Ovis aries: one gene and its partners. The protein of the gene in region 4 binds, or shares a complex with, the protein of the main gene of each other region. Links are inferred from orthologs where the notes say so. Each region holds a gene or a part of one and is shown on either strand. Other genes may lie near its edges. The genes, in order: GTF2F2, GTF2F1, ERCC3, POLR2L, POLR1H, POLR1C and TAF1B.

Region 1 (3,962 bases), on a different chromosome or scaffold from region 4:
ACTAGAGTTAAAACTGGAGAAGGCAATGGCACCCCACTCCAGTACTCTTGCCTGAAAAATCCCATGGACGGGGGAGCCTGGTGGGCTGCAGTCCATGGGGTCTCAAACAGTCGGACATGACTGAGCGACTTCACTTTCACTTTTCACTTTCATGCATTAGAGAAGGAAATGGCAACCCACTCCAGTGTTCTTGTCTGGAGAATCCCTGGGACGGGGGAGCCTGGTGGGCTGCCGTCTATGGGGTCACGAAGAGTCGGACATGACTGAAGTGACTTAGCAGCAGCAGCAGCAGTGTTAAAACATTCCCACTTCACAACGTGATGATGTCAGTATACGGTCCCAATCCGCTACTCCAGGCATGATGTCCTCTTTGTTTTCCAGCCCACACCACATTACTGTGCATTCTCACTCCTGCATTTCAGAACCACTCTCCATGGTATGCTACGGAGATACTATGGCCCCCCATCCAAACCTCTGTAAGGCAAACATTTATTGAGCATCTACTGCGCTCCAAGCAGAAACACATCACCTCAAGCTCTCGCCACCTTTTCAAGCTCTTTCCATCTGCAAAGGAGATCTCCTCCCTAATGATCTCTCTCCATCTAGCATGCAGGAGGAGAGAGATACTTGGTTACTCCATCATTTTAAATCACACTGATATCACTGTGATAAGTCAAAGCAGCACCAGAGATTAAGGCTAGGGTTGAAGAATAAGAGTTCATTCAGTCATTCATTCATGCATGCATACATCACATTATCTGAGCTATTTACCTTACACCAAACACAGTTCTGGGTGACAGGCAAGACGCCTACTCTCGCGAAATATGACTGTGCATGTGCTTTGAAGAATGTTAATACAGGCTCAACATGCTAGTGAATAATCATAAGGGCAGGAGCAGGGGACTACAGAAGATGAGATGGTTGGATGGCATCACCGACTCAATGAACATGAGTTTGAGTAAGCTCCGGGAATCGGTGATGGACAAAGAAGCCTGGTGTGCTGCAGTTCATGGGGTCGCAGAGTCAGACACAACTGAGCGACCGAACTGAATCATAAGGGAGCTACATCAGAGAGGAAGACTAGAAGGGCCTCTCAGATTTAACTGATAAACACTCAGACGTGTGATAAAAGCTTTCCAAAAATCTAACAAATAAAGGTCTCTATGTTTTACTTGAGTTTTCAAGACTATCATAATCACATTTTGAATATACACATGTCTTATGAAAACTTCCTAAGAAACAACAGTCCCCAATTTGAAAAAGTAAGGGATAAATAGTGTACTCACTAAGTGAAGAAGTGAAGGTTGCTCAGTGTCTGACTCTTTGCGACCCCATGGACTATACAGTCCATGGAATTCTCTAGGCCAGAATACCGGAGTGGGTAGCCTTTCCCTCCTCCAGGGGATCTTCCCAACCCAGGGATCGAACCTAGGTCTCCCACATTGCAAGTGGATTCCTTACCAGCTGAGCCACAAGGGAAGCTCAGTAAGTACTTACTAAGGGTTAATCAAAATGCTGCCTTTACCAAAAAAAAAAAAAATTACTGACAGTTTCACCTGAGACACAATCGAACTCTAAAAGAACACTCCAGTCCACAGTCTCTCCTTCCCTGAGTTCAGAGCACTCTCACCTCTCCTGGGAACTCCATAAGACCCATCAACCTAAAAGAACACCTTACGAGTGAAAGTGAAGTCACTTAGTCCTGTCCAACTCTTTGGGACCCCATGGACTGTAACTTATCAGGCTCCTTCAAAAGGGATTTTCCAGGCAAGGATACTGAAGTGGGCTGCCATTCCCTTCTCCAGGGGATCTTCCCCACCCAGGGATCGAACCTGGGTCTCCTGAATTGCAGGCAGATGCTTTACCATCTGAGCCACCAGGGTACTCAGAGAACAGTTCTACTTTCTGGCTCAGAAAACTACCCAGAAAGCAAACGCTCAACTTTCTTATAGAGATTGATGACTGAAATCAGTTTCAGCAAGTGGAGATGAAGAAATTCTTCAGCCTGGGATAAAATGCTCAAACTGGGGGGCCATCAAGACAGGAGCCCAGAAAAACCAGGTCGTGGGATAAGGAGATCCATTCCAGGCACGTTCAGACTCTTAGTTGGCTAAAACACACTGGGTGTCCCTGAACTAATGTCCTCGTCTGCAAACAAGCCTACCAACCAACCCTGCCTCTCAAGGTAAGCGAAGTTCTAAACGAGAGAGCCCTAATGAGTTTTAAAAGGTGCACAAAGTGGGACGGTCTCAAGTTACGTGTGTGTGTGTGCGTGTGTGTGCGCGCGCGTGTATGTTAGTTGCTCAGTCGTGTCCGACTCTTTATAACCCCATAGACTGCAGCCCACCAGGCCCCTCTGTCCATGGGGTTCTCCAGGCAAGAACACCGCAGTGGGTTGCCACTTCCTTCTCCCAAAGGAACTATAGAAAGAAAGTGAAGTCGCTCAGTCGTATCCGACCCTTTGAGACCCCATGGACTGTAGCCCACCAGGCTCCTCCGTCCATGGAATTTCCCAGGCAAGAGTACTGGAGTGGGTTGCCAGTTCCTTCTCCCCTCAAGTCACTTAAACTACTTTAAAAGCGAGAGCCACGCAAACCTTACCTTGACCAGCCACACTCCGGTGTTCTGTTTGGCGCCAGTCAGGTCGAGTTCTCCGCGCTCGGCCATGGGTCTGTCGCCGGCGGAGACCTGCGGACTTAGAGCAGCGGCCCCGGGAGCGGGTGACTGCGGGACGAGGGAGCGAAGCACACGGCGAACCCTGGCCGGAGGTTGACTGTGAAGAGCCCGCGGTCCAACTTCCGGGATGCCGGGAGCCCTGGGAAAGAAGAACACACACGGCCGGCAGCGGGGAACTGCGCCTGCGCACTGCGGCCGTCAGTACGGCGCGCTACTGAGGACAAACTTCATCGGCGTGCACCTTCTTGAGTGGGCGTGGCTACTTCCAGGGACTGTGTCTGAGTAATTGAAAACGAGGTTGGGATGGGCGCAAACATCAGCAGTACATATAAAGACCAGGTCAGAGTAACAGAAGAAAGTGTCAAAACAGAAAAACGGGGTTTAAAGAGACAAAGGCTGTCAGTGTATGTCCAATCCAGGCCAAGGAGAGAAAGACAGCATTTGGAGGACAGGTAGGAGAAATGAATAAAATGAATTAGCAGAGTGGTCTTTATTGAAAGGCTACCCTGAGCACCTTCAGTTAAACGAGTAGGGCGCACCCCTTTAAGACTCCAAAACCCAGAGCCCTTTGTTTTTTGTTTGCTATTGTTTTTAATTTATTTTTAATTGGAGTATAAGCGCTTTACAATGTTATGTTAGTTTCTGCTCTACGACAACATGAATCAGCTGTAAGTGTACATAAGTCCCCTCCGTCTTGAGCCCCCCTCCAACCCCACCTCTATCCCACCCCTCTAGGTTGTCAGAGAACCCCGACCTGAGCTCCCTGTGCGCTACAGCAACTACCCACGAGCTATTAATCGCTTTTTACACATGGTGGTGTATACATGTCAGTGGTACGCTGGCAGTCTGTCGCGCCCTCTCCTTTCCCGGCTGTGTCCGCAAGTTTGGAGCCGTTTCATGACGTCAATGACAATAGACATGTAACAGAAAACTCTGATTGTTCAACTCCCCTGCTTAAAGAGTCTCCCCTCTCTCTTCTTGCCTCTAGAATAAAATTCAGTCCTCTCCACATAGGCCCTCACAGTTTGACCTCATCAAAGTGTGGTGTACTCAATGCACCACGCATCTAAGCCCATCTAACCCGTCAGACCTCCCGGAACGTATCAGAATGTTCCTCAATTATTCAGAGCCTCTGCACACTGGATTCCCTTTACTCAGATGCCCTATTCTTCCCGTACTGCCTTCTGATTGGCAGACACCTACTTAGGTTTCAAGATTAATGGAAATGTCTCTTCCTATGAGACCTTCTATCAACTCCCCCAGAGGAAGATAATTTTTTCTTCCCG
Region 2 (3,962 bases), on a different chromosome or scaffold from region 4:
CAGTCCCTGGGGCTCGATGTTTCACGCCTTCGTGCTCGCTGTTCAACCAGAGTGCCCTTCATTTCCCTTAATCTCTGTCTCCCCCATGGTTCTCAACCCTCAGCTCTGGGCAGTCCTTGGCTGGGCGCAGGAGGACGGCAGGCCGGGATTCCTGCATCCCTAGCACACACTCGAGCAACCCCTTGGCTCATCTTCCCCAAGAAAACCCCTTCATGGGTGGATGAGCTGTCACCCCCAGCTGCAGGACCTAGAAGTTCGGCCAAGGGTACCGGGGAGTGGCGGGAAGGGGCACTTACTTTCGGCCTGATTTACCGTTGACCCGCAGCAGCCAGGGCTGGTCCTCCGGCCGGAACTCCTTGAGGACAATGCCGTACTTCTTCCTCCGCGCCTCCTCCCGGAGCTTGCGGTTGAACTCGCTGCCGGCGCCCGACTCCGGCATCTCCTCCTCTTGGTAAATCTTCTTGTTGCTCAGGTCTCGTTCCAGCCGGGCCTGGGAGACGGAAGGCGAGACTTCTCATCAGGCAGCCTGCTCCCCATCCAACAACACCCCTTCCTCCCCGCAGGCTGAGCGGTGGACCCTCTGAGCCAACTTCCCGCTTGGCGAAAAGAGGCTCTGTGAATGTGGGCGAAGGGATCTGTCTAAAGCCCGCTGCGATGTCTGTTTTTGCAGCTTTTTGAAAGTTTGAAGTTATTTCCAAATGAAAAATTAAAAAAGAAAAAAAGAAAAAAAGACACCCCAGAGTCCAATAACTTCTCGTAACCTGTTTGCTGCAAACCCCATCACAGGCTCACCTGGTCCAGAGCCTTCACCTCCGCCCTGTTCTCCCTTCACTTGCCCTCGACCCCACAGTGGACAAATCTCTTTACAGACTGTTTGTAACCCTTTAATAGCCTCTGCTATGGATGAATGTTTGCATGCCTCCAAAATGCATTCTTTTTGGCTGTGATCTCGGACTTCTGGAATCTTAGTTCCCCCACCAGGGATGGAACCTAGGCCCCCAGCAGTGAATGGGCTAGAGTCCTAGCTGGAGTCCTAACCGCTGTATCTACAGGGAATTCTCCCCAAATGCATATAACCTAATTTCCGGTGTGATGGTATTTGGGGGCGGGGCCTCTGATAGATGATGATTAGGTTGTGAGGCTGCAGCCTATTAGGAGTGAGATAAGTGCCCTCTTTAACAAAGGATTCCAGAGTGCTGTGTACCCAGGTGAGAGTACAGTGCAAAGGCACCAGCTATGAACCAGGACACCAGATCTGCTGGCGCCCTGATCTTGGACTTCCAGCCTCCAGAACTGTGGGAAATAAATGTCTGTTGTTTACAAACCACCCAGTCTCTGGAATTCTGCTAGAGCAGCCTGCAACTAAAACAGTTTCTAAAGACCGCTCTGGAGTCTCCAACAATAGGGGCTCTGAGTCACCTCTAGGAGGCAGCCCCCTCCTCTCTTGCCCAGATAGATCTCGACCCAGAATGCCCATCAGTGGGCACAAATTTCAGAAGAAAGCCTCCTGCAAGGCCACACATATCTTGTCCTCAGGGGTGCCCAGAGGCTCAGCCTGGGCCTTAGTTATCATTTATCTGCACGTGGGGAGAGGGGAGGATCCTAAGCCTTAGTTACTATCACAACCAAGCAACTATTACATCAAATCCAGGGTCAGGTTTTCTCACAGCCTCAGAACTCGGACTTACCTGATTCCAAGTAGTGAGGTTGACTTTATCGGCTGCATTGAAAGCCATGATATTGTATTTTTTGGTGGTATTTCTGGTATGGGCAAAAAGAGGCAGTGCTCAGTTAATCATTCATTAATTCAGCAAACCCTCCCAGGCTCAGTTCTTTGTGCTGGGCAACGCTGGGGACCCATGAAAAAAACCCCAGAGATCAGTTAAGGACAAATATTTCTGGGAACTCAAGATGGGATAATTGGGAACTCAGCCCTGGGCAGCGGGGTGGACAGGCAGGGACTGCCTCCTGAAGGAGGAAAATACTGTAACGGAATTTCGCAGGATCAAAAAGAATCCACCCAGTAGAGTCACTGTTGCCATTCCTGGCTGAGGGAATCCTAGGCAGGCAGGCTGCGTGTTACTGTATATTAATGTACTTATTCATTCACTCTGTTAAAAAAACAGTGATGCCCCAGAGGCCTCGGCTCAACCCCAGCCCTGGAAGAAGAATCAGACACTCCTGGAACCTCGAGATTTTAATCCTTTTCTGGAGGGAAAGGGGGTTGGTAGGGTCAGGGACTTACTTGGGAACTCGGACGACATACTCAGTGACATTCTGGCTGCTGGGGCCCTGAGGGGAGAGAAAGCAGGACAGTGAGTGAGAGGCTACAGAGGCCACCGGGACCGCAGCCGAACCGCCTGGCCGCACACTTACGAGGGCCGCCATGGGCGATGGGCGATTGACCCGGGTCTGATCAGAACCTTTCTTTACGCCTCCCTCCGGGTGCGCGTCCCTCGGAGGCCGCCCTCGAGGTGTCCGGTCTCCGGCCCGGGATACAACCGATCCTGGGGAAAGCTATCCGGAGGCGGCACTGGGTCGGCGATTGGCTTGAGACCGCCTGTGCCAAGTCTGCGCCTGCGCAGCCGCCTAAACCGGAATCGAAATCCTCCCGCAGGCCTAGGGGAAGCAACCTACTCCCAACTGAAGGTAGCGCCTTCTGTATCTAGCGCTCTGGCGGCCCGCAGTTTGTATAGCACGATAATCCCATCAGGCCGATAACCTCATCACGCGGATAACCCAAACAGGTGACGTGAAGACGCCCCCAGTGACATTACATCTCAGGACCGCGGGGTATCTTGGGAAGGAAGGGAGGAAACCCGCCACCCTCGCGGCCTGTCGGGCCATTTGCGCATGCGCTACTTTACTGCGGAAGTGAGTCCGGGGAGGTCGCGTTACCACAGCAACCGAGGCCTCCTTGGCAGCCGACTGCTGCGGCTCTACCTGAGCCTCTTTGGGGTTCATTTCTCCCCACAGCCCCCGGGGGTAGCCCTATCATCTCGCCAAATAATCGGGCCAGGGGCCCTTGTGACGTTGAACCGAACTAGGAGAGGTCAGGGCCTGTGTAGGGGATGGAGTGCGCTCACCCCACGGGCCTCAGGCGGGTTGGGTTTGTGCAAGTCCAAACTGCCCCAAATAGGCAGGCCCCTGAGGCCCCAGAAGAAGGGAAACATCGCGGGGGTGGCTGGTTTACTCGGGAGAAGGGAAGGAGGTTATGGAGGGCGGGAGAATGCAGGTAACCCCTCCTCAAGTCCAGGTGTGCACACGCCCTTCCTCCCGGCCCCCTACCTTATTGTAACACAACTTCGCATGCTCAGGGTCAGGTATTCAGTGATCCATGTTAGCACCTGCTGGGCTTCCCTTGTGGCTCAGCTGGTAAGGAATCCACCTGCAATGCGGGAGACCTGGGTTTGATCCTTGGGTTGGAAAGGTCCCCTGGAGAAGTGAAAGGCTACCCACTCCAGTATTCTGGCCTGGAGAATTCCATGGGTCACAAAGAGTCGGACACGCCTGACTGACTGACTGACTGACTTTCACTTTTAGCACCTGCTGCGCTGGATTCTGGGAAGTCCGTGGGGAATGTAGGAAGCCAGCACTATAAACTACAGGTCTCCATAGATGTTTCTGATAGTTATGGACATTTATCTACTCCTCACTTGCTACGATTATGTCAGAAACTATGCCAAGTACTAGAAATACAGGGACAAGGAAGACAAACAGATTCTGTGTTCTTGTAGTACATAGTCTGACTGGGGAGACAAACAAGAACAAGTAAACGGGCAGACTCATTACTGATAGTGACCATTACTGGAGGAAATGGAATTCTTTTTGTGGGGTGGTGGGGAATTAGGGTTTTGAGACTGGGAACAATGGGGTGGGAGGCTCTTTAGACAGAGATTAGCTGAAGGGTGAGCTGCAACCTGAAGGGACTGCAGTATGGACTTCCAGCAGGGGTGGGGGTC
Region 3 (3,500 bases), on a different chromosome or scaffold from region 4:
TATGCACCTTGTTTAAATCGTAAAAAGCAACATCTGTCAAAACAAACAATGAGTAAGAGACACTTCTACTATTGCTGTTTTAAAGATGGGAAAACTAAATCTAAGGTGTAACTGGCCCGAGACCCTGGGACAGCAGTGCTGCTAGGGTATACTGTACCCAACACATGGACTCCCTTCGGAGGGACTGAGTAAAAGATGGCTACTATGGTCACACATAAACTGGGCTGAGCACTCAGCAACATGGTCGTGTGAACAGTGCTACTGGCAAAGACACAGGAAGGTGAAACTCCAGGGGCTTCTGAGTTTACCACCGTCCACCATTAATGAAGATCAAGATTAAAAATCAAGCTGTTCCTTTAAAAAGCAATTCTTCCTTAACCAGGGATGTGCTTCAAAGTAACCCATGCAGCTTAAAAAGAAAGAAGGTGCAGGCCCCTTCCTGAGACAGTTCACCTTCTAGAGTCTGGGGCAAGGCTCCAGCTGAGTGTACTACGATTTCCGGCCAAGAACCTAGGCTAGGCCCGACATGACTCAGGACAGATGCAGAGACAGCAGCCCACCCATCTCCTTCACTCAGTCACTCACCACAAGGAAGGACAATGACCCCGGAGCGCGCGCGCCCATTCCCAAACATCTTCCGCAAACTCTTCTCCTGGTAAGGTCTAAGGACAGCTGTGGGCTTCAGGTCAATGTTGATATCAGGGTTGACAGAATCATTCCGAAAGTCGTATTCTGCCAACAGAGGGTACTCCAGGTGGATGCAACGTTTCTGGAGTTCTTCAATCATTTCCTGGAAAGTGAGCATGAAGGTTTCATAATCTTGTTAACTCCAAAGCGTGCTCAGAAGCAACACATATCCTAAGACACCTAACAATAAAAATCAAGTTTACCTAGACTTTTGCAATTTCAGATCTTGCTTGATAACAACTGGGTTTAAAGCATAGAAAAGGACCCCAAACTAAGGCAATGAACAAAATTAAATCCAATCAGCTACCAAAACACCCCAGAGACACCATTTCTCACTGATCCACCAGCAGGAAGAATGGGCACTCAGATACAACTCCATCAGGAAGAATGATGAAACAGCACACTGGAGACAGATAGGGGTTCCTTCTTCTCACACAAAGTATGGACAGTCCAGGCAGGGCCAGACCAGCTTCTGATATCAGCTTAGAGAAGCAACCAGGAGTTATGTTCACTAACCTGCTTGACTTCAAAAGATACTGTCTGTGTCTCTTCTTCCTCCTCCTCATCCTTGTCCATTTGCTCATAAAAATCAAACAGGTCTGTGGGGATGTCAGATTTACCCTGTGGATCTGTCACTCGGGAAGTGGAGGGCCCACCGCTACCTTCAGCGCTCTTAGCAATCTGGAAGAGAAAGGCAGGATGTGGACTTGCACAGAACATTTAACCCTACTGCTACCAAGCACAGTCAAAGCTGCAAGAAAGCGGCAGGACTACTAGGCTATAAATGCTGGACTAAAAGCACCTGAGGGCTACAATCCTGAATGTGTCCAACCCCTGAGGGTGACCCAGGAGCCCACATACAGCAGATTTGCTTGTGAAAGTCTCGGTGATGAGCTCGGTGGCCTCCCCCTCAGAGTTCCTCAGGCGGCACTCCCGGATCACGGCATCCTGGAGAAGATGCTGGATGACGTCAGGATGAGAGCTTTCAACGAAGTACCTGTAAAAGGGGAGGAAGCAGAAGCCTGCTGGCCGGGACAGGATTTGCGGAAGGGTCCACTTAGCATTCTTCGGATGGTCTGGGGACGGCGGCCTCTGGCCCCTCTGCACAGTCACCCTGCCCCATCCCTTTGCCGAAGCTGAGTGATGAGCTACTGGTCATGAGAGCGCACAGAAGGGCTGCGGGCAAAGCCCCACTTTGAAGACACATTAGCAGGGATCGGAGCCCCAGCTCCACTGCCAGGGGAATACAGTGGTCAGGGAGTGAACAGTTCTGGCCACACAGCTTCCCTCATTCCCTTTAGCCCCTTACTCTGGGGAGCAGTTGTTAGTGCAGAGCACAGCCCACAAACGTTAGCTTCCTGCCACTGACAGGCAGAGGGTGGAAACGCCTTGGTGGGCCTGTCACAGAGTCCCTTACCTGTTGTGCTTCAGGACCAGCTTGACTTTCCCATAGCTGACAGTACACAACTGCAGGGAGGGACAACACCAGACAGGTAAAATCAGCCACATGCAGCTCACTCAGAACAAGTCATTACCGGACGCATTTTACTACCTTTCAACTAAGTGAAGGGTTCATTTTACTTTAGGAACATCCAATGTGCAATCCTAAAGGGGTAGATCTGTCTAAATAGAGCTTTTTCTATTAGCTTCCACTTTTTTTTAGCTTTACCTGTTTTTATTTTTAACTTATTTTTAATTAAAAAACAACTGCTTTACAATATTGTGTTGGTTTTTGCCATACAACAAAAAGAATCAGCCATAGGCATACATATTGAAAAGCAGAGACATTACTTTGCCAGCAAAGGTCCATCTAGTCAAGGCTATGGTTTTTCCAGTGGTCATGTATGGATGCGAGAGTGGGACTGTGAAGAAAGCTGAGCGCCGAAGGATCGATGCTTTTGAACTGTGGTGTTGGAGAAGACTCTCGAGAGTCCCTTGGACTGCAAGGAGATCCAACCAGTCCATTCTAAAGGAGATCAGCCCTGCGATTTCTTTGGAAGGAATGATGCTAAAGCTGAAACTCCAGTACTTTGGCCACCTCATGCAAATAGTTGACTCACTGGAAAAGACTCTGATGCTGGGAGAGATTGGGGGCAGGAGGAGAAGGGGACGACGGAGGATGAGATGACTGGATGGCATCACCGACTCGATAGATGTGAGTTTGGGTGAACTCCGAGAGTTGGTGATGGACAGGGAGGCCTGGCGTGCTGCAATTCATGGGGTCACAAAGAGTCGGACATGACTGAGCGACTGAACTGAACTGAACTGAATACATATGTTTAAATATTTCTACTAATAAGGATGACTAGAAATTAATGAACTAAGTATCTAACTCAAGCTACAGGTTAAAAAACAGCACTACCCACAAAAACCCGAAAGAAACAGAAGGACAAAAATTAAAGATAAAAGTGTAAAAATGATTTTGAAGAAAACAAACTAACAGTAAAACTACTTCAAGTAAAATAAATCCAATAGAAATAATTTTTTTTCATTGAAAATAGCAGGAATTCCCTGGTGGTCCAGTGGTTAGAACTGGAGGCTCTCACTGCAGAGGGCCCACGGTTAAAGTCCTGGTCAGGGAACTAAGATCCCACATGCCCATGATGCAGGGGTGGGGTGGGGAAGTGAAAACAGCTTAAACCAGTAGTTGACATAGTCGAGAAAAGTTAAGAATAAAATACAGAGCCACTACAGAAAGTGGTGAGTGGAGACAGACTGTTTACTGCACACCTTTTGGTGCCCTTGTCTGCATGCTGAGTCCATTTCAGTCACATCTGACTCTCTGTGTAGCTTCTACTTTTTGAGAGCAAAAC
Region 4 (3,484 bases):
CTAGTTGGTTTTCAGGGCAACGCATTTAACGCCTGGGCACTGAGAGCCCATTCAGAACAGATGCCCAGGAGAGCTGCCTCAGGGCACCTCCCACCTGCTGTGGGGTCTCAGGGGTGGAGTGGAGCTGCCTGCCTGCTGTGGGTGGAGCCTGGAAGCTTCTGGCGGCAGCAACCTCAGGATGCGCAGCTGTGACCACAGGGAGCACTCCACTCAGAGCGCAGAAAGTCTGGAGCATTAGATACCGGGGGAGGAAGTGGGGACCTCTGTTCTCGGCTGAAGGGCACCCAGAACAGCGCTGTGGGACGCCGGTGCCCCCACCCCAAGCACTCGTGACATCTGTGTCTTCTGTGGGGCCAAGCGCCCACAGAGGAAGGGAGCCCCGTGCTGAGCACTCCCGTATGGAAGGCCCACCCTCCTCCTGGGCCGTGCGGGCCTCGGGCACCAGGTAGAACCCCAGGAACCGGCGGGGCAGCCCACAAACCCAGACCAACTGTTAGGACTTCCTGGCAGTCCTCAGAAACATTTACTAGACAGTTCTTTCCAGGGAGGAAGACCCACGCCAACAGAGCCGTGGGCGGGCGTGGCTTCCGGCGCCCCACACCCCAGGGGAACAAGCCATGGGTGAGACGCCCCCTGCGGCATCGCGGGCTCACTTCTCCAGGGGAGCGTAGTTGAGCAGCTTCTCGATCAGGTCCACGTGGGCAAGCAGCATGCGGCGGCAGCAGTAGCGCTTCAGGCCCAGCGCGTCCAGGGCGTCCCTGCAGGTGGGGAGAGATCTGGCTGCAGCCTGCTCCTCCCGGCAGACAGAGGGCCTCGCCCGGGGGGAGCAGCCCCCCTCACCTCCCAGAGACACGGCCCCAGTCACCCTCAAAGCCTCCTGTGTGTGGGCACCAGCGTGGCACCCATAAAAGGGGCGGCCGCTTGGGCAGCCCTGGCCTGGGGCATCTCGGGGAGGAGTCTGGGGCAGGCTGCCAGCATTCACTCGCACTGTGGTCATTCCAGCAGCCTCCTCGAAGCCTGGTGCAGATACTACGGCCGTCCGTTGCTTCCCTATCCACCCAACACAGCTACACGGAGAACCTCACCTGCTACCACACTCCAGGTCCCAGAGGTTCACACTTTGATAAGGATGGGGCTGTCCACACAAGGACCAAAGTCAGACTCTTGTCTAGGGTAAACTCAGACAAGTAAGGCGGTAACTGCAGTGCCAAGGGGCAAACACGGAAAAGGGACCCCACAAAAGCCTGATGATGACGGCTATGTGATCAGAAGCTTGTCCTATGTACTAAAAAAGCCCGTGAGTCTGCAAGACACGGTTTGTTGTTCAGCCGCTCGGTCGTGTCCGTGACGCCATGGACTGCAGCTCGCTGAGCTCATGTTCTCCTCTATCTCCCAGAGTTTGCTTGAACTCCTGTCCATTGAGCTGCTGATGCTACCTAACCGCGTCCTCCTCTGCCGCTCCTTTCTCCTTTCGCCTTCCATCTTGCCCAGCATCAGTGTCTTTGAGGACACGGGGTGGGCCTAATAGCAGGGAGAACTTAGGGAGCTGACGGACAGAGGTGGCCAGGGGCCTATCTGCGGTGGAGGCGTGGAGCCAGAATACTCGAGTCCCCAGACACCAGCGCTTGACAACTAGCTCCCCTCGTCTGCCTGAACTGGGGGGTGGGAGACGCTTTCCTGAGAGCAGGTCTGGAGAACAGGGCTGGCAAAGGCTCCGGGAATAAAAGCCTTGCCGGCGTCACCTGGGATCTGATGAACGTCCCTTGCTCCTGACCTGGAGACCAAGACCCCTGACTGCCGCCTCAAGACCCCAACCCCTCAAGCCTGGATCCTCGACAGCCGCCCGAGACGCCGACGCCGCAGGCTAGGCCCCCTTGACCCTGCCCCGGGCCCCGCAGGCCGGGGCCCCCGTGTCCTCGCTCCGAGCCCCGCAGGCTGGGAAACCCTCCCCTTAGGCCGGGCGCCCCTGTCCTCGCCCCGGGCCCCGCAGGCCGGGCCCCCGTCCCGCCGCCCCGGGCCCCGCAGGCTGGGAAACCCTCCCCTTAGGCCGGGCGCCCCTGTCCTCGCCCCGGGCCGCGCAGGCTGGGAAACCCTCCCCGCCCCGGGCCCCGCAGGCCGGCGGCCGGGAGCGCGCCCCTCACCCCTCGGTGTACTCGGCCTGCAGCAGGCCCAGGTAGGCCTCCCACTTGTTGCCGACGATCTTGCCACACGTGAAGCAGCGAACGGGGATGATCATGGCGGCGGCGCGGGAGCTAGAAGCTTCGCGGCCCGGCGGCCCGACGCCCGGATCCCCCGGCGCTTCCGCCCCGGCGTGCCCATGGCGCGCCCATGGCGCGGGGGTGCCGGCCCGGCCCGCCCCGTGCACCTCCCCGCGGCCCCGGCGCCGCCGGCATCCGCCTCCCGCCGCGACGGCGGCTCCTCCGGCGGGCGCGGGCCCGGGGGCCGGGGCCCGGGGGCCGGGGCCGGGGGCGGGGCCCGGCGGGAGCCCCCCGCCCGCGCCTTGGTACGTCCCGGCCTACGGCGTCCGCGCGGGGCCGCAAGGGCTCGGCGGCGGCGTTCGCGTTCCTCGTGCCCGGCCGACCGACTCCGCGCGGCGGGCGCGAGGCAGGTACAGCGCCCCTGCCGGGCCGCGGGCGGAGTGCGGCCGGGCCCGCGCGAACTGGGGCCCCGAGCGCAGAGCGCGAGCCGCGTTTCAGCAACAAGTTGCGAGCCGGGTCTGGGGCGCGGAGAGCGGCCGGAGGGGCCGGGCAGGGGGCGGCCTCTCCGCCTGGGGCCGCTGCCCGCGGGCACTCGGGGGTCTCTGCGCAGAGTCCGAGGGACCCTCGAGGTCGCCGCCTGGCCGGGTCGCCTGCACAGTAACGGTCCCGGCCCGGTAGCTGCCCGTATCCCTGCAGGCGGGCGGCGCGGGGCGACCCAGCCGGTGGGGGCTCCGGCCGTCGCCGCGGTCAGCTTGGCCCCCCCTCCTGCCTTCTTCCCGGGGGAGGCGCTGGCGGCCCAGGCTCCAGTCCGCGCTCGGCAGGGGCGGGCGCCAGTGACCCGGGAGCGCCGGCTCTGAGGGTCGGGAGGGCACTCGGGGTGTCTTTTGAGCTGAGACTTAAAGAGGGAGCCGGACAGACACCCGTCCGTGCGGGACAGAAGCTGTGGGAGCTGGAGGCGGTGGGGGTTTAAAGGGAGCGGGGGGGGGGCGGGGGCGGGGGCTGTGTCTCGGGAAGTGGCGAGAGGTGAGCCCCCTGATCCTGTGACTGGCGGCTGGGAGAGGGCTGTGTGCACTGAGAAGCAAGGAAGGCTCCCTGGAGGAGGCGAGCTTTGGGCTGAGGAGGGTGGGCTAGGCACCTAGGCAGGGTCTCCTCATATTTGCTGGCCTGGGGCGTCAGGGTCTCTGGTTGGGGTGGGGGGTGGGGGTGGGCCCACCATGTTGGGTCCCAGGCTTTAGCTCAGAGTCCACCTGGGGTGGGTGGTGGACTCTGACTGTAAGTCAAGGGGC
Region 5 (4,010 bases), on a different chromosome or scaffold from region 4:
AATTAAACAATTTCTCAGCCTGACTGAGAAATACTCCCCAAAGGCATTTCTAACTATATTTTTAATCCATTGATGAGAAGGCAAGAAAGTAAAGGCAATCTTCACAGTGAGTGAAAGTATACAAAACCAGGAATCTAGACAGGTACATTAAAACTGAAGCCCCTGGTACACTGGTGCCCTTGCTGTTTTGAGAGCCACATGAGTGAACCAGAGACAAGCCTACAATGTCTGAGAGGAGATACTCAGAGTAAGTTTGAAACCTCCAAAGGGCTACACCTGTATAGAAGTGAACAAGAAAAATAATCCAACTCTGCAGAAGAGGAATTTGACAGTCTCACTAGGTAGAGAGAGAAAAAAATTTCCCTCTAGAATTTCTAACCAAAAGCTGGCCTTACATTAGATTCGCAGCACAAATCCATACTACCTATTTGCTACAAAACACATGAAGCTGAGAATTTATTTAAAGTCATTCCAGCTTGGTAGTGCTTCAAGGCACCTGAAGAGGAAACACACATGCTAAGAATATAGTTTTCCAAATTCTAAAAAATCTGAGCTTATATTAAAAAATTATACAACAAAAAAAGCACGATGAGAAAGTCTGCAGGAATAACGGCAGCATCAGATCCACAAAAACTGTGGGTATGAGAATTAGGAGACACAATATAAATATCAGGCTTAATATATTTAAATATATGTAAGAATTACAAATAATATAGGATTAAAGAATCATGAATTATTAAAAATGAGACTTGAAAAATAAGCAGAACTCAAAAAAAAAAATTTTTTTAAGTAACAATAACTGACATAAACTGAAGACAGAATTAGTGAAGCGGAAGAAAGACCAGAAGAATTTACCCAGAAGCAATATAAAGAGAAAATAGATGGAAAATTATGAAAGGGTGAGAGAAATGGAGTAGTGGGTAAAGTCTAATAAGCAACTAATTAGAACTCCAGAATGTGAGAACATAGGTAAAGGCAATATTCAATGAGACATGGCAGATAATTTTCCAAGGTTGACGGAAAAGAAAAAAAAATCAATCTTTACTTTCAGAAAGCCCAGCAAATCCTACACATGATAAACAAAAGAAAGCCACATCCAGATACACTGTAGTGAAACCACAGAACCCCAAAGACAAAGGGGAGTTCTCAAAACTATTCAGAGAATCATGTTCTTTAAAGCACCCATGACTAATTCTCATCGAAGTAAAACTACCTTGAGTACAGTGGAAGATGCAACAGTAACACCCAGATCATCAAGCAACATTAGCTTTCTGTATTTTTTTTCTTTCCTTTTAAATATCTTAAAAGGTTTAATTCACCGAGTATAAAAAGGATAAGAAAAGTGTAATTTTCTAAAATAAAAAACGACCTCAAGTTTCCCTATTACTTCAACTGTACAGAAGAGAGGGATCGGACCAAAGAACACAACTGTTTATTCAGTACAAAAAGTAAGTCACTGGATTTGTTTAGGTCGCAAACAGATTGAGAAAGGGCAGAGAGGAGGAAAAGGATACGCACTTGCAGTTGGTACAGGTGTAGAAGACAGTCTGCCCTTCATCGGCTGATCGCATCTGCCTGGTGTGGTATGCCATTCCCTCGTGCCCACATCGAGAGCAGCGCCTGTCAACCTGGAAAGCAACTGGTGGGATTAATAATCTCCCTTTCCGGTCACAGACATCAGGCTGTCACACTCCCCAGACTCTGATGTTTTAAAGACCCCTCTTCCCTCTTAAAGGACTTCCCACGTGGCACAGTGGTAAAGAATCCGCCTGCCAATGCTGGAGACGCGGGTTCCATCCCTGGCTCGGGAAGATCCCGTGGAGGAGGAAATGGCAATCCGCTCCAGTATTCTTACCTGGAAAATTCCATGGACAGAGGAGCCTGGCAGGCTACAGTCCACGGGGTCACAAAGAGTCAGACACGACTCAGCACAGCACACACCCTTCCCTCTTGGAATTAGGTACAAAACTCTCCAGATCTGTGCAATCGCCCCTCCATTTCTTTCCCACCCTCCTTTGATGGGGCCAGTCCTGGATGTCATTCACTCACCACAGGTCCCTGGAACTCAGGTCCTTCCTCCATCGACAAAGGCATGGCTGTCCCCAGTTTGTTAAACACAACTGAGGTTTTCACAACCTTCCCCTCAAAGTCTGCGCAAACAGTAAGAACTGGTTGTGGAGACAGTAAGGAGTGCTGACACCCATAACTCCCTCTCGGTTAGGACAGGAGGCCTTATATTCTTCCCTTCAGGTTTCGACCCAAGGCCAAAAGTGCCTGATTTCCTGCTTCAGGGTCCCCCTCTTCAATCCAACCGATATTAAGGTCCTCAAGCCACTGACCCTTTCACGCTGGGCCCTCTGCCGGGGTCGCTGCGTACAAGCCCCTTACCTCGCACATTGATGGAGAAGCCACAGCGGGTACAGGCGACCGCATCCTGAGCCCCGGGCAGAGGCAGGACCGAGCCGCAATCTGGACAGAAATCCAGGTCCGACTGAAAGCTGGAGCAGATGCCGGCGAGGTCCATGACGGAGGGTGGTCGAGGACTGGGAAGAAGAGGAGATTGCTAACAAACGAGAGTAGCTCCCTCCCCACTGAAGGGTCATTCCTATTCTGTCCCTGGACCTAAGCATACAGAACCCGAGTCCTTCTCCCACGTATGCCTGTGCCTCTAAGACCAAGGAGCCCACATATCCAGAATTCCAAACCGGGGTCCGGTACTTCGACTTGGGGGTTTGCTTACCTGGGACAGGCGAGAAGAGGAAGCCAACTCCGCGAGCTAGAACGCCGGCTCTACGCCGCTGCGGACTAGCGAGAGCAAGCGGGCTAGAGCGCCCTGTCGTCCGGCCTGTCGATTGGCTGTTACGTCATAATTAATCGCAAACTTGATCCCCGGAGGGAGCGGAACCTTTGAAGGAAGGTTGTAGCGCTACTTTCAGGCTGGATTTGTGATGTTGGATAAGAAAGCAGGTGATTGAAGCTGAGCCTCCGGTTGTTTTCCCCTCACTACCCAGTTCTGGGAACTACAACTTCCCCTGTTCCTGAGTTGGTTCTTTTTTTTTTTTTATTTTTATTTTTTTTCTTTTTGAGTTGGTTCTTTTAAAAAAAACAAAAACCAAAGCGAAACATTCTGGAAGTTACAGTTCTAGCGCTCCTCGGACCTCGCGATGCAAGCAAGGGCGCTCTGCAGAGCACCGCCTGGCTCGAGTGCTGGGCCCTTGGCGACGAAGAATTGATGCTTTTGAACCGTGGTATTGGAGAAGACTCTTGAGAGTTCCTTGGACAGCAAGGACATCAAAGCAGTCAAGCCTAAAGGAAATCAGTCCTGGATATTCACTGGAAGGACTGATGCTGAAGCTGAAACTCCAATACTCTGGCCATCTGATGCGAAGAACTGACTTATTTGAAAAGACCCTGATGCTGGGAAAGATTGAAGGCAGGAGGTGAAGGGGAGGACAGAGGATGAGATGGTTAGATGGCATCACCCACTCGATGGACGTGAGTTTGAGCAAGCTCCGGGAGTTGGTGATGGACAGGGAGGCCTGGCATGCTGCAGTACATGGGGTCGCAAAGAGTCGGACGCGACTGAACTAAACTGGGCCTTTGGAAGGGGTGAGTCGACCTCTTACCGGGCATGAAGTGGAAACGGTGAAGGCGGAGGAGGAATCCTAGTCACTAGGAACGAAAGGAAGCAGGGATGAAGTAGGACACTTTAGGAAGGGGCTCAAGACTTTGGAGGTAGTGGAACAGAAGAGATTGGGACTCCTTCCTCTTTAGATGCCCGTCAGATGAGGGAGGTTAGCATTAGTCAAGGGAGCAGCCTTGTGACGAAGACTGTCGAGGTTTGCTTTCAGTTGCAGACCCCTTTCCACCTTGTCCCCGGCCTCCCATCCAACCAGCTCTACATCATCATTGCATCCATTAGATGGAGAGTTGACATATCCCTGATCTTTTATAAAACATGAGGACAAGTGTCTTAAAAGTTTTGCTGTTTTAATTCATCTGGAACCTAC
Region 6 (4,261 bases), on a different chromosome or scaffold from region 4:
CACCTGCTTCGCACCTGGGCTGGCTCCACATCAAAGTAGGGTCTCAGGATGTCGATGTTGGCATACAAGCTGAAGGCTCTGGAGGCTTGTCTCTTCCCTGCCTGCCACATCTATAGCAAGGAAGATGGGTGGGGTGAAAGGGTGCTGTCAAACTCTTGGCTCTATGTTACTTATTTTTTATCTGATTTCAAAATGGTGTGAACTGGACAACCTGGGGTGGACTTCACCAACTCCAGAACCAGAGGTCTCCTCGGTATACTTTTCCACCTGTCAGGGAGCCAACTGTGCTTACCTGATCAGCCACCTGCCGGCTCAGCTGTCCCTTAAAGCCCTTCATCCCCAGGAACTCCCCATCCTCTTCTTCAGCAGCAGCTGCATCAGCATCCACTTCTTCCTCACGCAGGCGCTGATGCAGCTCACCCATGTCCTCGAAGCTGGAGCCTGAGGTATCATCCATGTTCTCCATGTCAATCACTGCTGAGCCCCCACCCTGTGAAGACAACAGACCCTAGAGTGCAGGACCTTTCTGCTTCGTCCAGTTGAGTCCTTCTCCGTTCACCACAAGGTTTGGGGCTAGGGGACTTGAAATCGCCACAGATGACGCCACTCTCTTCTCCTCATTTGGTCTCAGAACCCCTGCTTGTTTGGTGCTCTGTTCTAGTCTGGGGAACCTAGTCCCTGTCTTCCATACACGGCTTTTTCCTACCTTCCCTACCAAGGCCCCAAAGGGCTGCAAAGTGCCCATTTCCTTCATCTCTCCCAACCCCAAAACAAGGCTATGCGCACCAAGTGTGGTTTTGGCTAGTGAATCCCATCCACCCCCAAGCCCACTCCCGCCATGCCTGTCTCCGACTGACTTTCCTAAACTTGTGGAAAGCAAGAGCAATTGGGCCCAGATACCTAAGGCCCCTGGCTGGAGTACCAGTCTGGAGCTTTAAGACCAGCACTAGCCCCACTGCCTTTCTTGTGCACGAAGACTCAAAAGAAGATAAAAAGTGTTGCAAATGGACCAGACTTCCAGGCTCTGAGGGAGAGTTCAGGGCGGCTGCCGGCCCAGGGGCTGCGGGCAGCCGGAGCCGTGGGGCCATTACCTGGATGTTTTCTTCGAACCCTCCCCATTCCGGGCCGGTCCCGTTTCGGGCGCCGCCAGCCGGCGCCGCCGGAGTTGCCATGTCCCTCGAGGGCTCCCGTCGCTGAAGCCCGTGCTTGTCCCGCGCGCGGAGGAGGAGTGGGAGAGATGCGGGCCTGAGAAAGGGACAGGTCTAGGGACAAGAAAGAAAGGTACTATGGGTCGGAATGCAAAAAAAGGAGAAACCCGGATGTTTGGCTCAAACCAACTTCCGGTAGCTGGGGACGTGGACGGAGGCAAGGCACAGTCTCGCGATATTTAAGATTCTAGGAGGTGCGTTGCTACAGAAACGGAGGCGGACGACTAGTGCGCACGCATCAGTTAGGTACTCTGGTCACGTGGAGGAGTTGAAGATGGCGGCGGCCCAGGCTGTGGAGGAAATGAGGACCCGCGTGGTTCTAGGGGAGTTTGGGGTTCGCAATGTAAGTCTTGTGGCCTTCAGCTCGGGAGCAGAGTGAATCAGGGATGAGTTGGCGTCAGAGTGGGGACGGGCTTGGCCTCGCTGCCCCTTCGCAGACATTCTCGTCTCTCTTTGCTCTAGGTTCATACCACTGACTTTCCCGGTAACTATTGCGGCTACGATGATGCCTGGGACCAGGACCGCTTTGAGAAGGTAGGTGGAGCTGGAACTGTGGGATCGGACTTTGTGATATGAGCAACCTGTGCCTTAGAAGCTGTCCTTGTAATTTCCAAGGCGCAGCAGAAAAGGGCAGCTTGCAGCAAGGGGCAGAGGGCGGTAGCTGGAAGCGGGGTTGTAGCTTCCCCCACCGGTAGTCCTAACTACGACCACAGGAGCCAGCAGTTAGGGCTAGAGTCCCTAGTCCTTGTCTGCCTAGTCAAGAACGAATTCAGGCGAGGAGGCAGAAGGTACAGAGTAAAGTACGAAGTTGATTGAAAAGAGAAGTACATGTAGAAAGGCACACGGGCAGGACCCTCCCATGGGATGCACACTCACCTCTTAGCCAAGATGGATCTGGAAGTGAAGGCTTCTGGGAAGAGCAAGACTCGTTATGGCCTGAATTATCCTCTGACTTTTGACCCCAAGTAGCCTTTCTGCACTTGTGATGTATCTTCCTTATCCTAAAAAGGGGGAAGCGGAGATCCCTTAATCCTTACTCAGACGAGGGATTTCGCCTTGCTTTGTTCTTGCTATAATTATTTCTTCAAGATATTTACTAGAGACAAAGACTGTTGACTCTGTTTCTGTTCTCTCTTCGTTTCTGGAGGGCAAACAGGAGGCTGATAGGAAATTCCTCAGCTGGAGCCCGTCTGTCTCCTGCCATACTTGTGATGTGGGACATGCTAAAGTAAAGGTCCAGGTTCTTATTCTACCTGTCCAAAGTGCAAAAAAATGTCACACAGAGAAACTGAGGTGTAGAGAGAACAAAGAAGCAATTTATTAAGGAGAAGGGAAAGCAGGCACTCACAGAAGAATACGAGTGTCCACACGAGTGAGGAGACCACCTGAGGGTCTTTCTAGCCCCACTCCATTATTTTAATTCCTTGAATGGGTGCAGGTTTCTTTGTTGTTGTTCTTCAGTTGCTCAGTTGGGTCTGACTTTGTGACCCCAGGGAATGCAGCACGACAAGCTTCCCTGTCGTTCAGTATCTCCTGGAGTTTGCTCAAACTCATGTCCATTGAGTCAGTGATACCATCCAACCATCTCATCCTCTGTCACCCACTTCTCCTCTTGCCCTCAATCTTTCCCAGCATCACTCGTTTGCAGTGAGTCAGCTCTTGGCATTGCGTGGCCAAAGTATTGGAGCTTCAGCTTCAGCCTCAGTCCTTCAATGAATGTTCAGGGTTTATTTCTTCTAGGATTGACTGGTTTGATCATTTGATCTTCCTTGTTGTCTAAGGAACTCTCAAGAGTCTTCTCCAGCACCACAATTCGAAGGCATCAATTCTTTGGCACTCAGCTTTCTCTCACATCCATGCACGGCTACTGGAAAAACCATAGCTGTGACTATATGGACCTTTGTCAGCAAAGTGATGTCTCTGCTTTTTAATGTGCTGTCTAGCTTTGTCATAGCTTTTCTTCCAAGGAGCAAGTGTCTTTCAAGGCTGCAGTCACCGTCTGCAGTAACTTTGGAGCCCAAGAAAATGAAGTCTGTCACTGTTACCATTTTTTCCCCGTTTGTCTGTCATGAAATGATGGTTCAGATGCCATGATCTTAGTTTTTTGAATGTTGAGTTTTAAGCCAGCTTTTTCACTCTTCTCTTTCACTTTCATCAAGAGGCTGTTTAGTTCCTCTTCGGTTTCTGCCGTTAGGATCGTGTCACCTACGTATCTGAGGTTATTGATATTTCTCCCAGCAATCTTGACTGCAGCTTGTGCTTCATCTAGTACTCTGCATATAAGTTAAATAAGCAGGGTGACAATACACAGCCTTGACGTCCTCCTTCCCCAATTTTGAACCAGTCCATTGTTCCATCTCCAGTTCTGACTGTTGCTTCTGGATCTGCATACAGGTTTTTCAGGAGGCAGGCAATGTGGTCTGGTATTCTCATCTCTTTAATTTTCCACAGTTGTGATCCACACAGTCAAAGGCTTTAGCTTACTCATTGAAGCAGAAGTAAATGTTTTTCTGGACTTCTCTTGCTTTTTCTATGATCCAGAGGATGTTGGCAATTTGGCCTCTAGTTCCTCTGCCTTTTCTAAATCCAGCTTGAACATCTGGAAGTTCTTGGTTCACATACCATTGAAGCCTAGCTTGGGGAATTTTGAGCATAATTTTGCTGGCATGTGAAACGACTGCAGTTGTGCAGTAGTTTGGACATTGTTTGGCATTGCCTTTCTTTGGGATTGGAATGAAAACTGACCTTTTCCAGTCTTGTGGTCACTGCTTAGTTTTTCCAAATTTGCTGGCATATTGAGTGCTGTACTTTAACAGCATCATCTTTTAGGCTTTTAAATAGTTCAACTGGAATTCCATCACCTCCACTAGCCTTGCTCATAGTAATGCTTCTTAAGGCCCACTTGACTTATTTGATTAGGGACGGTCTATTTATTATTGGGAGGATGGGTGGTTATAACAGCTTCTCTTGTGCATCTGTCTCCTAAAGCCACCACACTAAGAGCTTTCCCCCCTTTAATTTTCCCTTGGAGTGAAACACCAGGTTGTATAGAA
Region 7 (3,500 bases), on a different chromosome or scaffold from region 4:
CTGGAGCTTCAGCTTTAGCATCATTCCTTCCAAAGAAATCCCAGGGTTGATCTCCTTCAGAATGGACTGGTTGTATCTCCTTGCAGTCCAAGGGACTCTCAAGAGTCTTCTCTAACACCACAGTTCAAAAGCATCAATTCTTCGGCGCTCAGCCTTCTTCACAGTCCAACTCTCACATCCATACATGACCACTGGAAAAACCATAGCCTTGACTAGCCGGACCTTAGTCGGCAAAGTAATGTCTCTGCTTTTGAATATGCTATCTAGGTTGGTCATAACTTTTCTTCCAAGGAGTAAGCATCTTTTAATTTCATGGCTGCAGTCTCCTATGCAAACTAAAACCCTTTTCAGAAAGTGAGTTAGGCAGCAGAGGTGGGGAGACCTTGTGATACTGAGGTTAGGGAGGGGCACAGGAACCCTGTGACTTTCTGTGGGGAAGAGGGCATCTTGGAGTCATAGCAGCAGACTTCAGAAGCTTATTTTTTCAGAGTTGCAGTATTTGTCAACCTGGGAGGGGTAAAACATGAGTCTTAACAGATTTGAGCATTTTCTTTTAACTGGTAGTTTTATTTAAACATGTAGCTTTGTCCATTCCTTCAGAATCTCTTAAGACTGTTTTGAGGTTGCAAGAAAATAACCTTAAAATACATGGTGACTGGACCGAGTTCAATAAATCTTAGTTTCCTTGCTTTCGGTTTCACACTCGTACCTGGAACCTTCCTGATGAAAAGAGAAAGCTGGTGAGCAGTTCATTTTCTTTGTGTGTTCTTGTTGTATGCCCTTTCCTGCCATCTTGGAGCTTCCCTTCTTTGCTTTGGTTCATTCTCCAAATACTCATTGTTCCCTTTCTGTTTGAGGTGGAACAGAGGAGTCGGAGGAGAAACAGTGGCTGAGTGTTGAGTATCCTTTCATTTAGGCTTCTGCTGGGCACTGTTCAGTACATTTATAAAACTTGTTTTCTTTTTTTAATGTGGTGACTAACCATTTTGCTGCCCTTATATTGATATTTCAGAAAAATTAAATTTACTTTAGCATTTGTGTACAGATTTGCCAGATTGGAAGCGAGAATATAAGAATGGAAACTCTACTCAGGGATATGAAAAAATTCCAGTTGAAGTGTGTGAAACACAATTGTAACTGTGCAGTAGCATTACATTTAGTAAATAAGAAACTCAGATGTCTGAAGTCTGTCATTTGTCATTTAGAGAAAGGCTGGGATTGGTATGTGTGTGAAGGTTTTCAGCACATACTTTATCAACAAGCAGAAGCCTTACAGAGCCTTGGAGTAGGCCCAGAGTTAAAGGTAAGTCCATTTGAGTTCAGATGTTAGCCTTTCATTTTGTTGTTTGAAGAACAGTAGACTTAGAGTGGAATTAAGAGTAGTAGGGTTATCAGTAATAGCACTTGGCCTATTAGAAACAATCATTTTTCTGATGATTTTTCTTTAATCCTTTTGCAAGACCAGCAATCTCCAAAATGTGTTTTCTAGGGTGTAAATAAGCAGTACATCCAAAAGAAAGTAAGAAAGGTTTTAGTCTTCAGATAATTAGGAAACATTAGGTTAAAGTAAAACAAATAACTTTGTCCACTTATTGGTGCCTTTTATGTGTTAATGTGCTGTTTCATTTCCTAGGGGATGCAATGTGCAGTATTCACAATTTGAGGGTAAAATCCTCTGGTGTATGTGAGTGGGTGGGATGGGGGGAGTAGCATCCATCAGGACTTCCAGAAAATGCACTTTGTGCAGTGGTACATTAAATCAGTGGTTTTCAAACTTGAGTGTGTATCAGAATCAACTTGGACGGCTTGTTAAAACACAGATTGCTTGACCCCATTCCAGAGTTTCTGATAAGCAGGTCCGGAGTAGGGCCCAAGAATCTGCGTTTCTAATAAGTTTCCAGGTAACACTGATGCTGCTGGAGTCAGCTTAGTTGGAGAGAAGTTTCCATGTGTATGTGGAATGAGTGAATAGGACATTATATAGCACTATGCTCATAAATGAAAACAAGAGCAAAAAGTGAAGGAAGAAAGATCATCTACTGAAGTCACCAAGAAAAGATTGGTAAAGCAGCCTTTCCTATTCAAAGCAATGAATGTCTGCAGCAGGCAGGCAGAGTCACTCGTAGGCCAGTGCATAGCCCAAGTGGTGAGCCTTAACCTTGACAGTCATTGCTTAGGTTAAGATTGCTGGTAGCCTGCAGGTTTGTGAATCTGGTTTCTCCTGACATAGGTATCCGATGTATGAGAGTTTTTAATAAATGGTTTCAGGTAGTTCCACCAAATAGCTTCAGTAGGGTTTACACCTGTATAGCTTTCTGCTGATACCTACTTCAGCGAGATTATCCTAAAAACAGTTTCTCTAAAATAAACTGATAAGTATGACTGTTTAGACCTGACCAGCTAAATGCTGCAGGAATGGTTTTATGATAACCCAGTCTCCAGAGTCAGAGCTGACTCTAGATCCTATTTATGGGTCATTTTGGCCATGTTACTCAGTGTCTTCAGTGGTAAAATATGAGCTAATAACTGTTTTGCAGGATTGTGTTAAAGCTTATGGATGCCTTGTGCCCAGTAGGTGATGAATAAATGGAAAAGCTGCTTTGTTTTGTTTTATTTTCACTTGGACAGAGGGTGGGAGGAGGAAGGGGGTGTCAGTAGGTCACTAAATGCAGTAGCAACTTTGCTCCTAACTAGAAGTGTAGTCACATGTAAGTGACTTTCTTTCTCTGGATCTTAATTTATTTAACTTGTAAAAAGAAGGGATTCAACTAGGTGATTTTAAGGAACTTTTTCCTTCCTTGCCTAAAATCTAAGATTAGGAAGACTATATTCAGTGCTTCTCATATACCTGATACTGAAATGATAATTCTTTCAAGGAAATTAAGTAAGAAAGGTAAGAATACATTTAGATGGAAGCAGTATGTGAAGTACAAGAGAATAGAGGTTCTGTGGTCTGGATGTGCCAGTATATTTTCATCATAACCTGAAGCATTCTTGTTTCTCTTCCACATTAGAATGAAGTTTTGCATAATTTTTGGAAGCGCTACCTTCAGAAGAGCAAGCAGGCATATTGTAAAAACCCAGTTCATACCAGCAGAAGGAAAACTACGGTAAGTCACGTGTCTGACAAGTGGGACCAAAAGACATATCTGGTGAGAGATAGAAATGAAGATGAAGTTCAACCTTACCTGAATTATGGTTTTCAGAAGAGTTCCATTGAAGAGGTTTCATTTATAGTCTAGAAGGAAAGGGTCAGTGATGTAGGCATTGAAATTAATTTTGATTTCTTATTTGACCAGTTGAAACATAAAGAAAATTGTGGTTAAGTTTCTAAATAGAAGTTTAAAGGAGTTTCTACCATTGTACTATTAAAAACTGTTTCACAGATGTTACTCTTTTTGCTTGGAACACCTGCTTACTTTACCTGGCATTTCAAGATTCAGCTCAGTTGTCATCTGGATGCTTTACCACCCCACCCCCATCCATCAAAGCAGTTATAT

Evidence for each region.
Region 1: POLR2L (region 4) and GTF2F2 share a complex: the UniProt entries of both Homo sapiens proteins name them as parts of the TBP-based Pol II pre-initiation complex. The link is inferred for Ovis aries from reciprocal best matches to the Homo sapiens genes POLR2L and GTF2F2.
Region 2: POLR2L (region 4) and GTF2F1 share a complex: the UniProt entries of both Homo sapiens proteins name them as parts of the TBP-based Pol II pre-initiation complex. The link is inferred for Ovis aries from reciprocal best matches to the Homo sapiens genes POLR2L and GTF2F1.
Region 3: POLR2L (region 4) and ERCC3 share a complex: the UniProt entries of both Homo sapiens proteins name them as parts of the TBP-based Pol II pre-initiation complex. The link is inferred for Ovis aries from reciprocal best matches to the Homo sapiens genes POLR2L and ERCC3.
Region 5: POLR2L (region 4) and POLR1H share a complex: the UniProt entries of both Homo sapiens proteins name them as parts of the pol I pre-initiation complex. The link is inferred for Ovis aries from reciprocal best matches to the Homo sapiens genes POLR2L and POLR1H.
Region 6: POLR2L (region 4) and POLR1C share a complex: the UniProt entries of both Homo sapiens proteins name them as parts of the pol I pre-initiation complex. The link is inferred for Ovis aries from reciprocal best matches to the Homo sapiens genes POLR2L and POLR1C.
Region 7: POLR2L (region 4) and TAF1B share a complex: the UniProt entries of both Homo sapiens proteins name them as parts of the pol I pre-initiation complex. The link is inferred for Ovis aries from reciprocal best matches to the Homo sapiens genes POLR2L and TAF1B.

What each region holds. Positions count from the first base shown.
Region 1 is NC_056063.1:15,657,311-15,661,272, reverse strand, and holds the start of GTF2F2 (general transcription factor IIF subunit 2), read right to left. Parts: upstream 2,801-3,962; 5' UTR 2,668-2,800; coding exon 2,602-2,667; intron 1-2,601. UniProt on the Homo sapiens protein: TFIIF is a general transcription initiation factor that binds to RNA polymerase II and helps to recruit it to the initiation complex in collaboration with TFIIB.
Region 2 is NC_056058.1:15,923,959-15,927,920, reverse strand, and holds the start of GTF2F1 (general transcription factor IIF subunit 1), read right to left. Parts: upstream 2,801-3,962; 5' UTR 2,389-2,800; coding exon 2,377-2,388; intron 2,293-2,376; coding exon 2,246-2,292; intron 1,762-2,245; coding exon 1,689-1,761; intron 491-1,688; coding exon 297-490; intron 1-296. UniProt on the Homo sapiens protein: TFIIF is a general transcription initiation factor that binds to RNA polymerase II and helps to recruit it to the initiation complex in collaboration with TFIIB. It promotes transcription elongation.
Region 3 is NC_056055.1:118,229,820-118,233,319, reverse strand, and holds part of ERCC3 (general transcription and DNA repair factor IIH helicase subunit XPB), read right to left. Parts: intron 2,155-3,500; coding exon 2,105-2,154; intron 1,685-2,104; coding exon 1,549-1,684; intron 1,369-1,548; coding exon 1,204-1,368; intron 791-1,203; coding exon 586-790; intron 1-585. UniProt on the Homo sapiens protein: ATP-dependent 3'-5' DNA helicase/translocase. Binds dsDNA rather than ssDNA, unzipping it in a translocase rather than classical helicase activity. Component of the general transcription and DNA repair factor IIH (TFIIH) core complex.
Region 4 is NC_056074.1:46,915,104-46,918,587, reverse strand, and holds POLR2L (DNA-directed RNA polymerases I, II, and III subunit RPABC5), read right to left. Parts: upstream 2,271-3,484; 5' UTR 2,237-2,270; coding exon 2,142-2,236; intron 759-2,141; coding exon 650-758; 3' UTR 501-649; downstream 1-500. UniProt on the Homo sapiens protein: DNA-dependent RNA polymerase catalyzes the transcription of DNA into RNA using the four ribonucleoside triphosphates as substrates.
Region 5 is NC_056073.1:27,951,223-27,955,232, forward strand, and holds the start of POLR1H (DNA-directed RNA polymerase I subunit RPA12), read right to left. Parts: upstream 2,801-4,010; 5' UTR 2,741-2,800; intron 2,544-2,740; 5' UTR 2,525-2,543; coding exon 2,389-2,524; intron 2,151-2,388; coding exon 2,050-2,150; intron 1,629-2,049; coding exon 1,467-1,628; 3' UTR 1-1,466. UniProt on the Homo sapiens protein: Core component of RNA polymerase I (Pol I), a DNA-dependent RNA polymerase which synthesizes ribosomal RNA precursors using the four ribonucleoside triphosphates as substrates. Can mediate Pol I proofreading of the nascent RNA transcript.
Region 6 is NC_056073.1:17,058,027-17,062,287, forward strand, and holds the start of POLR1C (DNA-directed RNA polymerases I and III subunit RPAC1), read left to right. Parts: upstream 1-1,461; 5' UTR 1,462-1,482; coding exon 1,483-1,551; intron 1,552-1,670; coding exon 1,671-1,742; intron 1,743-4,261. Other genes in the region: protein YIPF3, read right to left, coding at 4-110, 293-490, 1,092-1,172. UniProt on the Homo sapiens protein: DNA-dependent RNA polymerase catalyzes the transcription of DNA into RNA using the four ribonucleoside triphosphates as substrates.
Region 7 is NC_056056.1:19,100,624-19,104,123, forward strand, and holds part of TAF1B (TATA box-binding protein-associated factor RNA polymerase I subunit B), read left to right. Parts: intron 1-1,205; coding exon 1,206-1,303; intron 1,304-3,014; coding exon 3,015-3,110; intron 3,111-3,500. UniProt on the Homo sapiens protein: Component of RNA polymerase I core factor complex that acts as a GTF2B/TFIIB-like factor and plays a key role in multiple steps during transcription initiation such as pre-initiation complex (PIC) assembly and postpolymerase recruitment events in polymerase I (Pol I) transcription.